2 linked regions of the Lytechinus pictus genome follow. The protein of the gene in region 1 purifies or fractionates together with the protein of each later gene. This does not show direct contact. Links are inferred from orthologs where the notes say so. Each region holds a gene or a part of one and is shown on either strand. Other genes may lie near its edges. The genes, in order: enhancer of filamentation 1-like and crk-like protein.

Region 1 (7,292 bases):
AGAAACGTAGCCAAGTATCAACATGTTTGGTCAATAATTGGTAAATGAGCAAAAATTATCATTCATCATTTCCATATAACATCTCTCCACACTGGGTATAAATTCTTAAATCAAATTCAAATGAATATAATATATATTAGACACAAAAAGGATAAAAACAAATTAATCTGATGATTTAAAATATCTTGGGAATTTTTCAATTCAAGTTTAGGCCTAATGAAAAAATTAGATAATCGTAAAACACTTGTTTGTTTTATATGTGTCCTTGGAGTATATGTAACTGGAAGTTAGTCAGGGGACCCTACTCGTTGAATATGTTTCAGATGTTTATCTTGACTAAAGTATTCAATTAGAATTCAGGTATTACACCAGAAATTCATTATAATTACCACCTCCTGTTGCTTCAATATTTATATTATGTTAAGTTGAAGAAGGGGGAAATGTGTTTAAATGTATGTAACATGCATAAGACTGTTATTCTTTTTCTAATTCCCATAGGACCATCTACGTTAATTATATATAGGTAACCATATTATGACATACATTTTGGTGCTGAATAATTATCCTTCCCGAGTCCAGGACGGATGGTGTCTGTGGACCATGACTTTGTTTTGCTCTTTCCCCATTGGGTAGGCAGCCGCTGATCACCATGTTAATAACTGAAGCATGAGAGGTTCAGAGAGGCCGACTCTGACTCTCAATCTGGGCCGCGGAAATCACATAGTGCTCCTCAATCCACTCTACCTGTGCATGAACTCTCCTGGATCTCGAAAACAACATCACGCTCATCAGTTTGGAATACTAGTATATGGAGGTGAACTTGCGTGAACCTCAAATATCAACATTGTTCTCATCAATTTATTTGGAATATGTGTATATGAATAGAGTTGGACCTCAAAATACATTAGTGTACATCACTGTACTCATATTTGAGTGATATCATGGCAGGAGAGAAAAGAGAACAGAAAAACTGAGAAAAGAGAGGGGAGGTGGTATATATGAAAAGGGGTTTAGATACCGAAAATGCAGGATTGGTTTTTGGAGAGGCTGTTGAAAATCTAGTCCACTCTGTGCATATACACAGCAAAACACTCCAAATATTTGGTTTTCACACACATCTAGTTGATATTACAACACCTTTAGTTGTTACTCTTTCACTCTTTGGTGTTATCTTCCATCTCCAGGATGTTATTTCGACACCTCAAGGTGTGGCCCTCTAGTCTAGTGACACCATATGGTATCAATTTGAATGCCCTAGTTTTTACAGTGCATTTGCTCAACCAGTCAGATAATTAAAAAAAATATAATACTGGAGAGGTAATTTAAGAAAGGAGAAGGAGAAAAGGGAATTAAAAAAAAAAGCTTGGAGGAAAGTATACAGAAAAGAGGATAAAGATAATTATAAAGAAAGAAAGAATATGAAAATAGACAGTAAAGAAAGGGAGAAAAATCACTTGAAATTCTTTATATCCTCTTAGCTCTCAATGTTGTAATTGGCATTAATTATGACATTATAAAACATGAAGAAAAAATGATTGTATTCTATCTGGACCCCACTATTGGTCATCGATTCAGATCGATCACGACTTTGAGGTGATCACTCAATGCATTCGATCTCAAAGCTGCAAGTCTGTGTAATTAACATGATCTCTTGAAGAAAATAACAAGACAGCAACACTTGTGTGTACATATCATTTGCATGTATAACATTCCTAAGATGACAGACATAGGTTGAGATTCCTTCCGTCAACAATTGTTAGTGTGTAAATGATGTTAACACAGATCCTAGAAAACACAGGAGCTACAGGCACTTAACCCATTACCTACTGAAACCATGCGTGTCTGGTGCTGAAGCTACATGTATGAGAATGGCAGAATTCATTTTTTAACAGGGTAAATCATCAAACTGTATAATTTTGTTTGAAGGAAGGAACATGTAAATTTACTATTGTTAAATCTACAGTTGATATTCACCATTCATAGTTAAATTGAAATATTGTATAATTCAAACACTAAAAGAACAAAAGAAATGGTGAGTGAGTGACATCATTGACTCTCTCATTTGCCTTCACCGAGCTGGGCATATAAGTGTTTTGTGAAAAATAAGCAAAATATTAAAATCTCATAATTTTCTTATTTCATATCTGATTTTGATGAAATTTCAGCATTCTGCTTGTTTGATTTTTTTTAATTGATTCAAATCAACTTTTTTCCTGGGTGGACTTGACCTTTATAAGCAAAGACTGTATTTCAGAGAACTGAAATAATTTAGGAATATCAATCTCTTTCATTGGCATATGGTGTCTTGTGAGATAAATGGATGTTTCATTTCATCTTGAGGGTTCAGTCACGTGTGTCTAATGTTGAGACCAGAATTGACCCAATTATGAAAATGATGCATGGGTCAAAGGGCGATCCCCGTCCCCTACATATGACATATTTGTACCGCATAGAGAGAGTTCTTCATTAATCGCTGTAAGATTACATGAATGGAATTTGGACTGTGGTTACGTGCATGAGCAAGAATTACAAGTTGCAATACTAATTGTTAGTTGAAATTTGAAAGCTGATGGCACTTTATTGTGCGGTTATTGATTACAAGATATGTCTTCTATTGGAAGGAAGACTGATATATCAGACATTGTGAGGGGGTGGGTGGGGGGGATTGAAACCAGGAAAAACAGACAGACACACAAATATATACAAATACCATCGCAGACTTGAAGATATAGATTGAATACTTTCAGGCTCAATATTTGAAAGTGAAGGCAAATAGACATGTGGTGGAAGGAAGGAAATTATGAAGGCGATGAAGTGCCAAAGAAGAAAATACCTGGAAATTGTTGTACCTGAAAAACGTGAGGCAGGCAATCACTTCTAGTTAGGTCCAGCAATAAAAATGCACTTTGTGAGAGGGAGCGTGGGATTTACACATTCACATCTCAAATCCCCACAGCCAATAAAACTGCTCTCCTTAAAAATGGAGTTTGGCCAGTCGTGCAGAGAATGTAAGCATGGATGGATGGTGCGTTCAGGCTCGAGAAAAGAAACGATCCTGAAATGTCTGAGATCAGGGGCCCGTTTCATAAAGAGTTACATGTACTGTAACTTTGCCATATTGTAACCACTTTGGAAGCCTTGATTGTGATTGGCTGTTGAGCCCTGTTACTGGTAAATACTATAATGGCAAAATTGCATTAGTCGTTATGAAATGGGGCCCAATCGGGAGGTGTTAAATAAAGTGTGTTAACAAAACATCTTGTACTAGAGATTTGAGTACACTTATTTTATCAATTTATCCATCATCTCCTCTCTGTCTTTCTAATTAAAATTCTATATTTTCTATCTGTATATCTAGCTACCTATATGTATGTATGTATCTATCTATCTATCTATCTGTCTGTCTGTCTATCAATCAATTGCATGCAAAGCTTGCGCTTAATCTACGCTCAAGTGATCAAGCGCAACTTTTTCTTGCAACAGGATTGAACGTAACTTGCGTTCAATTGCAGATTTGCATTTAATTGGAGGACTTATGCTCAATTTTGGGAGTTATGCTCGATTTGCATTCAATTGCAAGTTTCTTGCAATGCCCCATGAGTATCATTCTAGCTTTGGGGGAAATGGATGGAAATGCTCACAAAGTTACATCTCAAGTAGATGTGAACTTGTTTTTGCTTGTGTTTATTGACCTTGTTGCAGGGTGTAGGGAAGGCTTCCACTTGATCACCCAGGCATACATCTAATACACAGCCGTGATGTACCTCGTGATTTACATTGTATTGATGAAAATAGGGACAGAATATATACAAGTCTGCCTATGGAGTTAATGTAGAATTATTAGAGGCATGTGAGGTGAAACCTAAAGTCCTCCCATTTTTGTTTTGTATACATGTATCCAAAATGATTGTTTTGTAAAACTTGTCAATTTCAATCATAGCATCAGTTTGTTAAGTTTGTTGGGATTAAATACAGATGCAGATCTCTTGCTAAGTATGAAATGTTGTAAAAAAACCACCTACATCAAGACTGAAATTTTGTATCCAATTGTTCCTGAAATATGTGTTGATATTTACACCTTTTTTTTTGCTCTTCATTTTCTTTTTCCATATGCAGAATGTTTCAAGCTCGTCAGGTGGATACATGTCTTTGCAAGCAAACACAGGTCTTTCATCCACAGAGGACTATGACATCCCACCTGCCCGTAAACAAGCTCCCAATGCCAGCTCCCTGGCATCGCCCCAGCAGAAACAAGGGTTGCATGTATCACCCACGCACCATGGACGGACGACGCCACCAGGACATGAACTCTACGACACACCTCCAAGCGTGCAGAGAATCTCCCCAAATGAAACCTACGATGTGCCACCAAGGGCTTTTGGAAGCGGTGAATCGTTGAACTCAAAGAGCGGACAGAGCTCTCCAAAGCAGGAGAATATCGGTGAGATTTATGACACTCCCCCTTGCAAGCGAGATGTGCCTGGTCAGAACACTTCAACTCAGGATGTGTACGATATCCCACCATCTTCCCAAAAGATGAAGGATGAAAAGTTTCCATCAATGAGCACTCTTGACTCTGTTGATACCTATGACATACCGCCATCGCAACAAGGTGATAATGACGTATATGATGTGATTCCTCCGCTTAAAGGTGGCCCTTCCCCTGTAGAACTATACGATACCCTACCACAAAGAACTCCTACACCACAGCGGGTGTATGAAACACAACTGCAAAAGGACACTAGTGATTTGTATGATGTGCCTCCAAATAAGCAGGTTCAACCTGATGAATTATATGATACACCTGCAAGACATGGACATGAACTCTATGATCAACCTCCTGTTGCACGTGGTCTAAGACCACAACCAGGTAGCACACAGAGGCGCATCTCTGATCACGTTTATGACATTCCTCCAACAGTAACACAGGACAGGCCAGTAGTAGGGCCTGTCACGCTTTCACAGCACCATCGCTCTGCAGACGACATTACAGATGGAGTCGCTAAACTGTCTCTCCCGCAATTATCAAAATCAGCGGACTGCATAGATGAAACTCTAGGGAGGAGGTTAAATCTTGACCGTGATGCCGCCATGGACCTTCTTATTAAGCGGCAACAAGCTCTTGACTCTGCAGTAGCATACATGCTCAGTTATGTCAGTAGTACCTGGAGGCATCAGAACTATCTTGAACCTCATATTCATGAAATCAGAGCAGCATGCAATCAGCTCAAATTAATATTTAAAGAGTTCATGGAATTCTGTGATGGTGTCCTGGTGAATGCTCTTTATGTTTCTGATCAGAACCTCCATGAAAAACTTAGCAAGCAGTATAAGCCTATTCAGGATGAGCACCAAGTCTTGACTAAAGCGTCAGCAATGCTGGATGAACTCAATTGGGATGTGAACACACTTATGTACAAACCTGGTTCAAGTCCAAGTAATGAACTGGACACTTTTGCCGTCACAGCCAGGGGGCTTCCAGATGATGTTAAGAGGTTTGTGGTATTTGTCCAGGGTAACTCATCACTGCTCTTCAAAAGAGCAGGAATCATCCAGAACAGACCCTTGCCAACACCGCCTCCAAACTCTGCAGGAATGTCCAGCAACTGGATGGCTGCAGAAAAGGAGACCCTTGTGACTACAGCACCCATCCAAGCCACCAGGGAAACTATCCGCAACAGGCCTCTACCGCTAGTGCCGAGTGCCACTGTTGCTCCTCAACAGCAGATCCATGCCCAAACTAATGGAAACCACATCATGCCTGAAAATGGTAAGATGCCAGATTATGGCTATGTCCAGAAACCCCAGTCGATCAACAACAGGCAGATAATTATCACAACAGATCAACCTCCAGTGTCACCACCGCTCTCTCCAGGAGATCAGCAGCTCCTGACCTTCTACTACACCGAGGTGGAGACTCTCTTCACTGCCTTGCATAATGCCATTGATCTTTTCTTCTCCTGCATCGATGGCAATCAGCCGCCAAAGGTGTTTGTTGCTCACAGCAAGCACATCATCCTCTTGGGTCATAAGCTGGTGTTCGTTGGCGACACACTCCACCACAACTTGCACAACCTTGAGGTGAAGAATCGCATCATCCACCACAGTGACTCCCTCTGTGACTGCCTCAATGTCAGTGTCAATGCCACCAAGAATGCAGCTCTCCAGTTCCCTGCAGTACAACCTCTGCAGGAAATGGTTGACAGGATCACGGACGTTGCATCCGCCAGCAGAGACCTCAAGGAAATCATTTTGTTCAACACTCCTGCATGATGACAGTAGGATTCTCAAAGATAAATGGTGAAATTCTCTTTTAGCTACAGATGCAGTTCTGTCTCAACAAAGTGTGTGGATAACAATGATAGAACAAAAAGGTCTGTGTGAAATGTGTGAAATAAGCATACTAATGCTTTCATCTTTCACTCATCAGGTTTGTAGAAAAAACAAATCTTTTCAATGGCTGTATGATAAAAAATCAATTGCATTATACAGATGCATATACATGAAGGTTTATTTGCTGCAGCGACACAACACGACATTTGTAAGGTTTGTCTTGTTTATGAATGTTTGTGTATGATTAAATCAGTTCGTCTACAGTAATACATGAACTAAATTAGCAGTCGGTATAATCAGTCATTGTATAATACAGGGCCTGCATCCAATATCTTTCAATGGTGAAAGTTGGAATTTCAGTGGAAGTTGAAAAGACAAAATGATATCAATGTTCTTCATTGGAAGACATTTTTCATCAGTTCCTCCTAAGCCCATGGTTATAGTTGCATTCATAACAGATGTAAGTTAGGTCGGCTCTGATTACAACATTTTGTAATCATTTTCACGTGTCTGTGAAAGCCAAACTTAAAAGACAAACTCACAAAACCAACATTAATTTTTGTGTAAAATGGTAGGTTAACAGTAGATCAATATATCATGTAGATATGCTTGATGCTAATGAACAAGCAGGTGTTTGATTTGAAGTCCAAAAGGTATCACTATGATGAAAGACTACTGTAATTTGTGATATTCTCTTTTTAATGCATGTTTTATGTGACAAACTGAATTACAAGCTTGGTAATGTCTGTCGATTCTCTACCCATAGCACAAATTGATATTCAATCACATATGGTAATTATAGTAATTTTGAATTTGTTGTCATCAAGTTCATGTTAATACTTTACATAATGTAGTAGTTTTTCAATACATGAGTATTATATCTCTTTTTAAAATCTAAAATGTATCTATAGACAATAACAATAAGCTGTGCTGGTCACAATTTTGCTATTTCTCTATTA
Region 2 (7,391 bases), on another chromosome or scaffold:
TCATCAGTTCACGAAGACATGCCTCAGTCGAACTATTTCACCGGAATCATGCAAATCTTTAAAATGCCATAACTTTTTTATTCCTTGTCCGATTTTGATGAAATCTTTAGTGCTTTGTTTGTCCGATTTTTCTTTATCTGTTGATATCACACTATTTTCAGCCCGGAGCATCCCTTTAAGCCTCGCTCGTCGATGTTGAGCCATGACGAGGCAACGCAAAAATGTTATCGTCAAATTTTACAAAATAAAATCAACAAAATTACAGTATTTTGTTCTTGATAATACGGTGAACACTGTACGCTCAAAGATACGGTACACTACTCACTTTTAAACTGCCCCCATAAGGTCATCAATACACCACACTGTAAAAGCTGTGGCGTTAAAACCAGTTGGTGTTAATAGAGGACCACACCCTGGGGTGTTAAAATGACACCTTATAGATTGAACATAACACCATAGAGTGTTAATATAACAACCAAAGGTGTCGTATAACACCTATAGGTGTGTTAAACTATAACACTGTCAATTTACCACCGGTGTAAAATAACTGATGTGGTCCTCTATGTACACCTGCATGTTAACACCACAGTTTTTGCTGTGCAGATTCGGAGATGTTCCTCCACCAACCCTGACCAAGGGCAGGCCATTTTCTTCGACAGACGTATACGCCGTGACAGAAGCCAGCTTTGTGCACGGCACGAAACAGCGCGCAACATTTTTATTCAATGATGAATAATTTCAGATTTCTTTGGCGCGAAAATAGCGGTCACGTAACTCGTTTTATTCAATGTTTAATAACTTTTAGATTTTATCAATATATCGTTCGATATTTTTATTCAACATGTTCAACGCAAAGTTATAAAGCAACTACAGCTTTTTATACAACTTTCGCGATTTTTTAAAATACAATTCTAATTCAACTCATGCAATTTTTATAGATATACCGCGTTTCGTGTGTTTATGGGTGCATAATTATGTTTAAAGGTCCATCCCAGAAAAAACTTTGATTTTAATAAATTGAGAAAAATAAAACAAGCATTATGCTGAAAATTTCATCAAAATCGGATATAAAATAAGAAAGTTATGACATTTAAAACTTCGTTTATTTTTCACAAAACAGTGATATGCACAACTTAATGACATGCAAATGAGACAGTCGATGATATCCCTCACTCATTTTTTCTTTTGTTTTTCATTGTTTGAATTATATAATATTTCATTTTTTACAGATTTGACAATAAGTACCAACTTGATTGAACCATATAGTATCAAACAATGCTAATTCCACACGTTCTGGGAGGAATTAATCTTCTTTTCACAGGACAACAGGGAGAAAATTTGAATATTTCACATTTCATATAATAAAATACAAAAGAATTCGTGAGTAAGTGATGTCATCAGTCCCCTCATTTGCATATCGACAAGATGTGAATATAACACTGTTTCGCGAAATTAAGCGAAACTTTAAAATGTCATAATTTCCTTATTTTACAACCGATTTTGATGAAACTTTCAGTGTTATGTTTGTTGGATTTTTCTCTTTTTATTTAAATCAACTTTTTTGTTGGGGTGGACTTGTCCTTTAAGAATAAGTAACCCCTTATTGAAAATGGAACTTTTTTCAAAACTGTCTTAAGCAATGTAATTTGGCAATACCTATGGGCAGAAAAGATCTATGCAAAAATCCATTTGTATATTTATGGAAGAGTGAGCACGCATCGAGGGGGAATGGCATTTTCAATGACACAGACTCTTTTGATGGGTTATTAAGTGAATAATGGGGGCAAATTCTGTTTCAAATGTGACTTAATCACTGTTGTTTTTATCATCCATCATTTTTATCACCACACACTTCCCGAACTTTTTACAGGCATGGTTGAGTGAGCACACTTGAAAACTTGGGAATGAATGCTCTTTATAATGCATAAATGCATGCTTTTCCTAACAATTTCTCAGGATCAGTTGAATTTATGGACTAATGGTGGATCCAGATTTCTTAAATGGGGAGGGGACCGAGAAATAGGGGGGGGGGGGCACTAACATTTTACAATTTTAATTTGAAAGTTATATAGAGGATACTACCGTAAACCCCTATGATGATACGGCACAAAAAATGATGTTCCCTCAACCATGAACATACGTTATCAAAATTGTGTGTGGATTGGCTATAATTATGATGGATAGTAAAACAGCATCAGCACCATAAAATTCACCAAAAAACGAATTCCGCCCAACTTTGTATTTACACGATCTGAAAAAAGGATTCTTGTAACTTTCGAAAATTGTCATTTTTAGTTCAATCTTTGATTACTCATGCATGACTCAACCGATCAATCTGATTTTATTAATAAAACCAATTATCTATCTATCTATATCTATCTATCTCATTTTCCCACAGGAATTTCTGAATGATGGTGATAATATTACCTACGAAATATTTTATCTCAAAATTATTTCAAACGTTACAGCAATTTTATTTAGGGGACTTACTTTTTTGTTTGTGTATATACACAGACAAATCTACGCAATTATCATCTATATAGAGTGTTTTAGCGATACATTAAGGACGTTCCACAGTTGAAAATGAAACCCATGTCATTTTCATGAAATTTTGCACACTTGAGTTATTTTAGCACCTAAATATTCAAAAAATGCAAAAAATAACATGAGTTCATGTACTTGTTTTTTTTTGCTATCGAGCTTTGAACTTCACCCAAGCATTTGTAAGGTCTCGAGAAATACACAATAATAATAATTTGGGTTTCTAAACCCCATGACATCACAACGTTGAGTGTAAACCTCTATTAATCAGTCAAAATCTATCTAAATGTCACCAAATTTTACATTATAGTTCAGAATTATTTACTTAAGATGAAAAATCCACTCATATTGCTATTCATGGTTGCTCTTTAAAGAGAAGTAACACCTTTAATTGAAAAAAAGAAACATACATACAAATTAGAAATTTATATAACAAATTTACAGAGTATACAATAAATGCTGCATTTTATTTAAAACCCATGTCCTTTTTACAAAATTTTGCATGGTTTTTTGGCAAAGGTATACAAAAGAGGTGCCGGAACATTAAAAATTTGGGGTTCATGTGCCTGTTTTCAAAATACATGTATCAACACTTTTGTTTCGCAAAATAACGTGAGTTTAAAAACACACGCGCCAAAAGGCTTGTATCTTCATAAGGGAAAATTCTACACCACTATTCCATTTGATGAAACTCGAGGTAATATTCGTCATACTTTGCAGCACTGCAGAGGAAAGTCTTCTGAAGACTAGAGGCGTTTAAAAAAATTGGTCCATATACTATTTACAGCTTAGAGCTTCGTAAAATAACATATCAAGATTTGCTGTTAGAGTGCAGATGCTTGGATAGATGATAATAATCATATTGGATGGCTTTAGTACTTGGAATACCAGAAATATTCTGCGATTCGTGGAATATTTGCCGAAACTCTTGGAATATACTCTTTCGGAGCCATCCAATATAACATAAGTGTTTTATAGCTTTCCAATTTTCTCTGCACCAGTATCTTTAGTCTCTTCCCCCTTCTCTCTCTCTTAGGTGATCCCTCCACTGTTTTGGAGATTCTAAGATACGAATAGAACAAATCCCAGTCCGGTAAATTACAGATTCAGCATCAAGTTGGAGCGGTAGTCATGAATTTTATGTAGAAAAAAAGAGGGATTTAAGGAGCAGACTATAATTAACTTCTGAAGGGAGACCAGGTTGATGGGTTAATAGGGTAGCACAGGAAAATTGGTGTGGATCCTCAGCAGTATACAAGTCTAGGTAATGTGGATGGTGCAGTGAGACACTCCTCGACTCTGTGTATGAAGTCTTGGCGTAGGTGATCAAGAGAGGAGCACGATCCGACAAAGTGTTCTACTGTCTCATCATATGAGGCACAAAGGGGGCAAGTACGGGTGGAGGACTTTCCTAATGTGTGGAGGCGATACTGAGTAAGATACGTGGAAGAAAGTAATTGGGCTCTGACAATGAGTGCATAACGGATGACAGGGGAATGTGTGGTCTTCGGATAAAGGAGATTGTTGGAGGATGGGATGTGATCAATCCAGAACTTGAGAGTTGACTTCGCACGGATGCCCTGTGCAACGAGATCATTGACGGCAATGTAGATCTTGTTTAACCAGTTTCTTAAAGGTGGAGTAAGGAAGTGGTTTCGAGATATTGCTGTGAAGATCAGGAAGGTCGTATTTATTATTATTATTTTTTTTTACAATCGGTCCTTGGTTATATTTTTAGGTTTTTCCCAAAAACATATCCCACGAAGTGATGTGTATAACGCCCTCTATTTTACCCATGAAACCCGTCACGTCATAGACGGCCGTGCTATTTTGGCTAAGTGGCCTGTATTGAAGTTTGACAGAAATAACACACACAGTTTCTATTGGACTTCTCGAACTTCCTGGAACTAATGGCTAAATAGCGTTTGTGTACATGTACGTGTGTGTGAATGGACTGTCAGGGACTTCTGCGAGTCAAGATTTTCATCGTCGGTTTTTCATCACGATTTCGGCATCGATGAAGACTCTTCTCGAATTTGACAGGAAGGGGTTTTATTGATCAACGGGATAATTTGATTCTTTGGAGGTGTATTTTGGTCGAACTTTTCAGGAAACCATCTCAATCGGACGATAAGTGAAGAGGGTTCGTCAATTATGGCGTCCCAAGACGATCTCAAAACCCCGTATGATGATAACAATAAACATTTGTAAGTTGATAATTTGATGATACGAGTGAAAATCGTTTGTATGCGATGACACAATCGAATTTGATTATTTGATCTGTCATGTCATTAAAGTCATAAGAGCATTTCGTTTATCGGAAAGATGACTCGTTTGAGTAGTGTTGAGCAGGAAATTCGCTCACACCCAAAATAGCAAATCTTGTGTGTAGTCCCACACTATCAAAATTGTGTCAGTCCTCAGGCTTAGCTATTTACAGTAGGCCTAGAGTTAACTTGTTTTTTGTCAAATTGACATGGTCTTCGATTATTAAGGATTTATCTGGAAGCCAGGGGTATGCCAGTATGTAATCTTTGCTGTTAAAGTGTTGCTTTGATTTGCTTAGTTGTTACTGTTACTGTTAATAGGCTGCATGACGCACATTCCGAGTGTAGAAAAAGTGTGTGACTGCGTCTGCGAGTAGGCAGGACAACAAAGTTTAGAAAGCTCTCTTTCTTGTGATGGGTCAAAATGCGCACTAAAGCTGCGCTAACGAAAGCGGGAAATTTAACTACGATCAACATATATTTTCGACACTTAACAGTGCACCGCTGATCGTGTGTGTTCGGTAATCAAGTTTTCAGACATAAATCATGTTGCTGTTTAAATTTGAAAATCGACATTAAACACACCCTTATCAGGATTAATTTCCCAGAAAGTAGGATGGGGGGTCGGGTGTCCGGACACTTTATAATATATTTTTGAAGCCTTTTTTGTCTTTGGATTACACTAAAAATACGAAATCAATAGTTGTACAAATCATCTTCTATTTTGTTCTCTATAATATTTCCTGACATTTTGTACTAAAAATTGATAAAACTTCCCTTGTAAATTTTTCCAAATGACTTTCTAAAATTGATCGTCCGGACACACAACAACTGGGTATACTGTGCACTGGAAGCGGCTGCCAGGGCTACACATGTAAAAGATCATCAATTTTTTAAAGTAAATTCAGCCGTATGTATGGCAAGTTCCCCCAAGTCTGCGCAGTCCCCCTTGTCTGCGCACACGCGTATCTGCGCGATTCTAGTAAAAGAAGATACGCAATGAGCACGAACTTACACATGCAATACATAGACAGGTATTTGTAAAAAAATCCGACTCAAAATGGTGGAAAAATAATAAATTTAGGGCATTTCATGTGACGGCCTCAAAATGCAGCCTTTCTCATCAAAATCCCCGAATCGTGTGCAAAGTGAATGAGTGTGCAGACATGGGGTACCATTTGTTTTTTCAATCTGAAAATGACTGCCCGAGGTTTTTCCAAGAAAATCCTATATTTTCTTTCATTTTTTAATGAGAAATTTTGTACACTTACTCTTAATAATATAAGGAACATTATTAACTGAAAAATTTTGTGAAATAAGAAGAAATTCATGTTAAATCTTAACTCAAATTGTTAGGTGCGCAGACTTGGGGCCCACCATCATACACTTAAAGAGACATGTAGATCTAGAGGCCTACACAAAATAAGAATACCTCTGTTTTCAATTTTACAAGTAGAGTAAAACTGGGTTGGTACTCGGCCAAGAGTCGGTGTGTGGCTGTTCAGCAATACACCACTGAAATCACCAACTCACTCTAGACATGTACACCACACATTTACTCACTCACTCCCACACTACAAAATCATCCGGCGACATGGACAAAATTTTGAATAAAAAGTGAAATTTTCGCATAAAATATCACACTTGGTAGGGGAGATCGGGGTTAGTTGTCCCACACTTTTGACAAAATGGCTGTTAGTTGGAACATTTTTGACAAAATGGCTGTAAAATCCAAATAGATTTTATTTGAGAAACAACATATCAGCTTGAAGCATATATCTAAGGGCTTCAAATGTACGCCATAAAATGTTCAACTCTATGTTTACTGAAAAAGTCCACCTTGAACAAGACTATCACAAGCGTTCCAACTTTGGCGTAAATATTCATATCTGAATGACACGCGCCTCAAAACCCAAGATAACAACAACAACAACAACTTACCCCATATACGGGGTAAGTTGGAACATGGTATGGTGTAAGTTGGAACACTGCATGGTCAATTAAGAATTATACTAAAACTACTTACAAATGTAATATTACATGGTTTTAGCCTATTTGCGTTATTTTTTTCAAGTTCAAAATATTAAAAGTGGCTTTGTTGAACTTTATGTTTTCTAGTATACATAGCCACTCATGCAAGCCTACTGTGTAGTAGAATTCCGCTTATTTGTGTGTGTTTGATTTTACATGCAAATGATGCAATTAAGTGTACTATCAGCAATTTCATGTACTTCTGCATCAAATTTACATGACAACAATTAATTGTTTATATTTTTTAATTAATTAATTATGCAAATAAGCAAATTAAATTTGCCCTAAATTTTTTTTTTAATGTTTTTGCCTTTAACTCTATTTATTAAGCTAGTAGAATGCTAATTTTTGGTGAGAGTATCAATATTTTTTCCGCAAAAAATATAATTTCTTATGTATTTTTTGTTTTTAAAATTTGTATTTCTTTGTTTTTTTTAACCTTTGTTTTTTATTGTTTTTGCCGATGAACTTTGTCAGGGACTCTTGCGATCATAGCATAAAATAAATCCATTTGAACCAACAAAAGTAAAAATAGTCATACATTATGATTTT

Evidence for each region.
Region 2: the proteins of enhancer of filamentation 1-like (region 1) and crk-like protein purify together in Homo sapiens (affinity purification with western blotting; 4 studies listed by BioGRID). This does not show direct contact. The link is inferred for Lytechinus pictus from reciprocal best matches to the Homo sapiens genes NEDD9 and CRKL.

What each region holds. Positions count from the first base shown.
Region 1 is NC_087246.1:57,860,693-57,867,984, forward strand, and holds the start of enhancer of filamentation 1-like, read left to right. Parts: upstream 1-4,120; 5' UTR 4,121-4,143; coding exon 4,144-6,273; 3' UTR 6,274-7,292. UniProt on the Homo sapiens protein: Scaffolding protein which plays a central coordinating role for tyrosine-kinase-based signaling related to cell adhesion. As a focal adhesion protein, plays a role in embryonic fibroblast migration.
Region 2 is NC_087250.1:23,205,286-23,212,676, reverse strand, and holds the start of crk-like protein, read left to right. Parts: upstream 1-4,348; 5' UTR 4,349-4,695; coding exon 4,696-4,748; intron 4,749-7,391. UniProt on the Homo sapiens protein: May mediate the transduction of intracellular signals.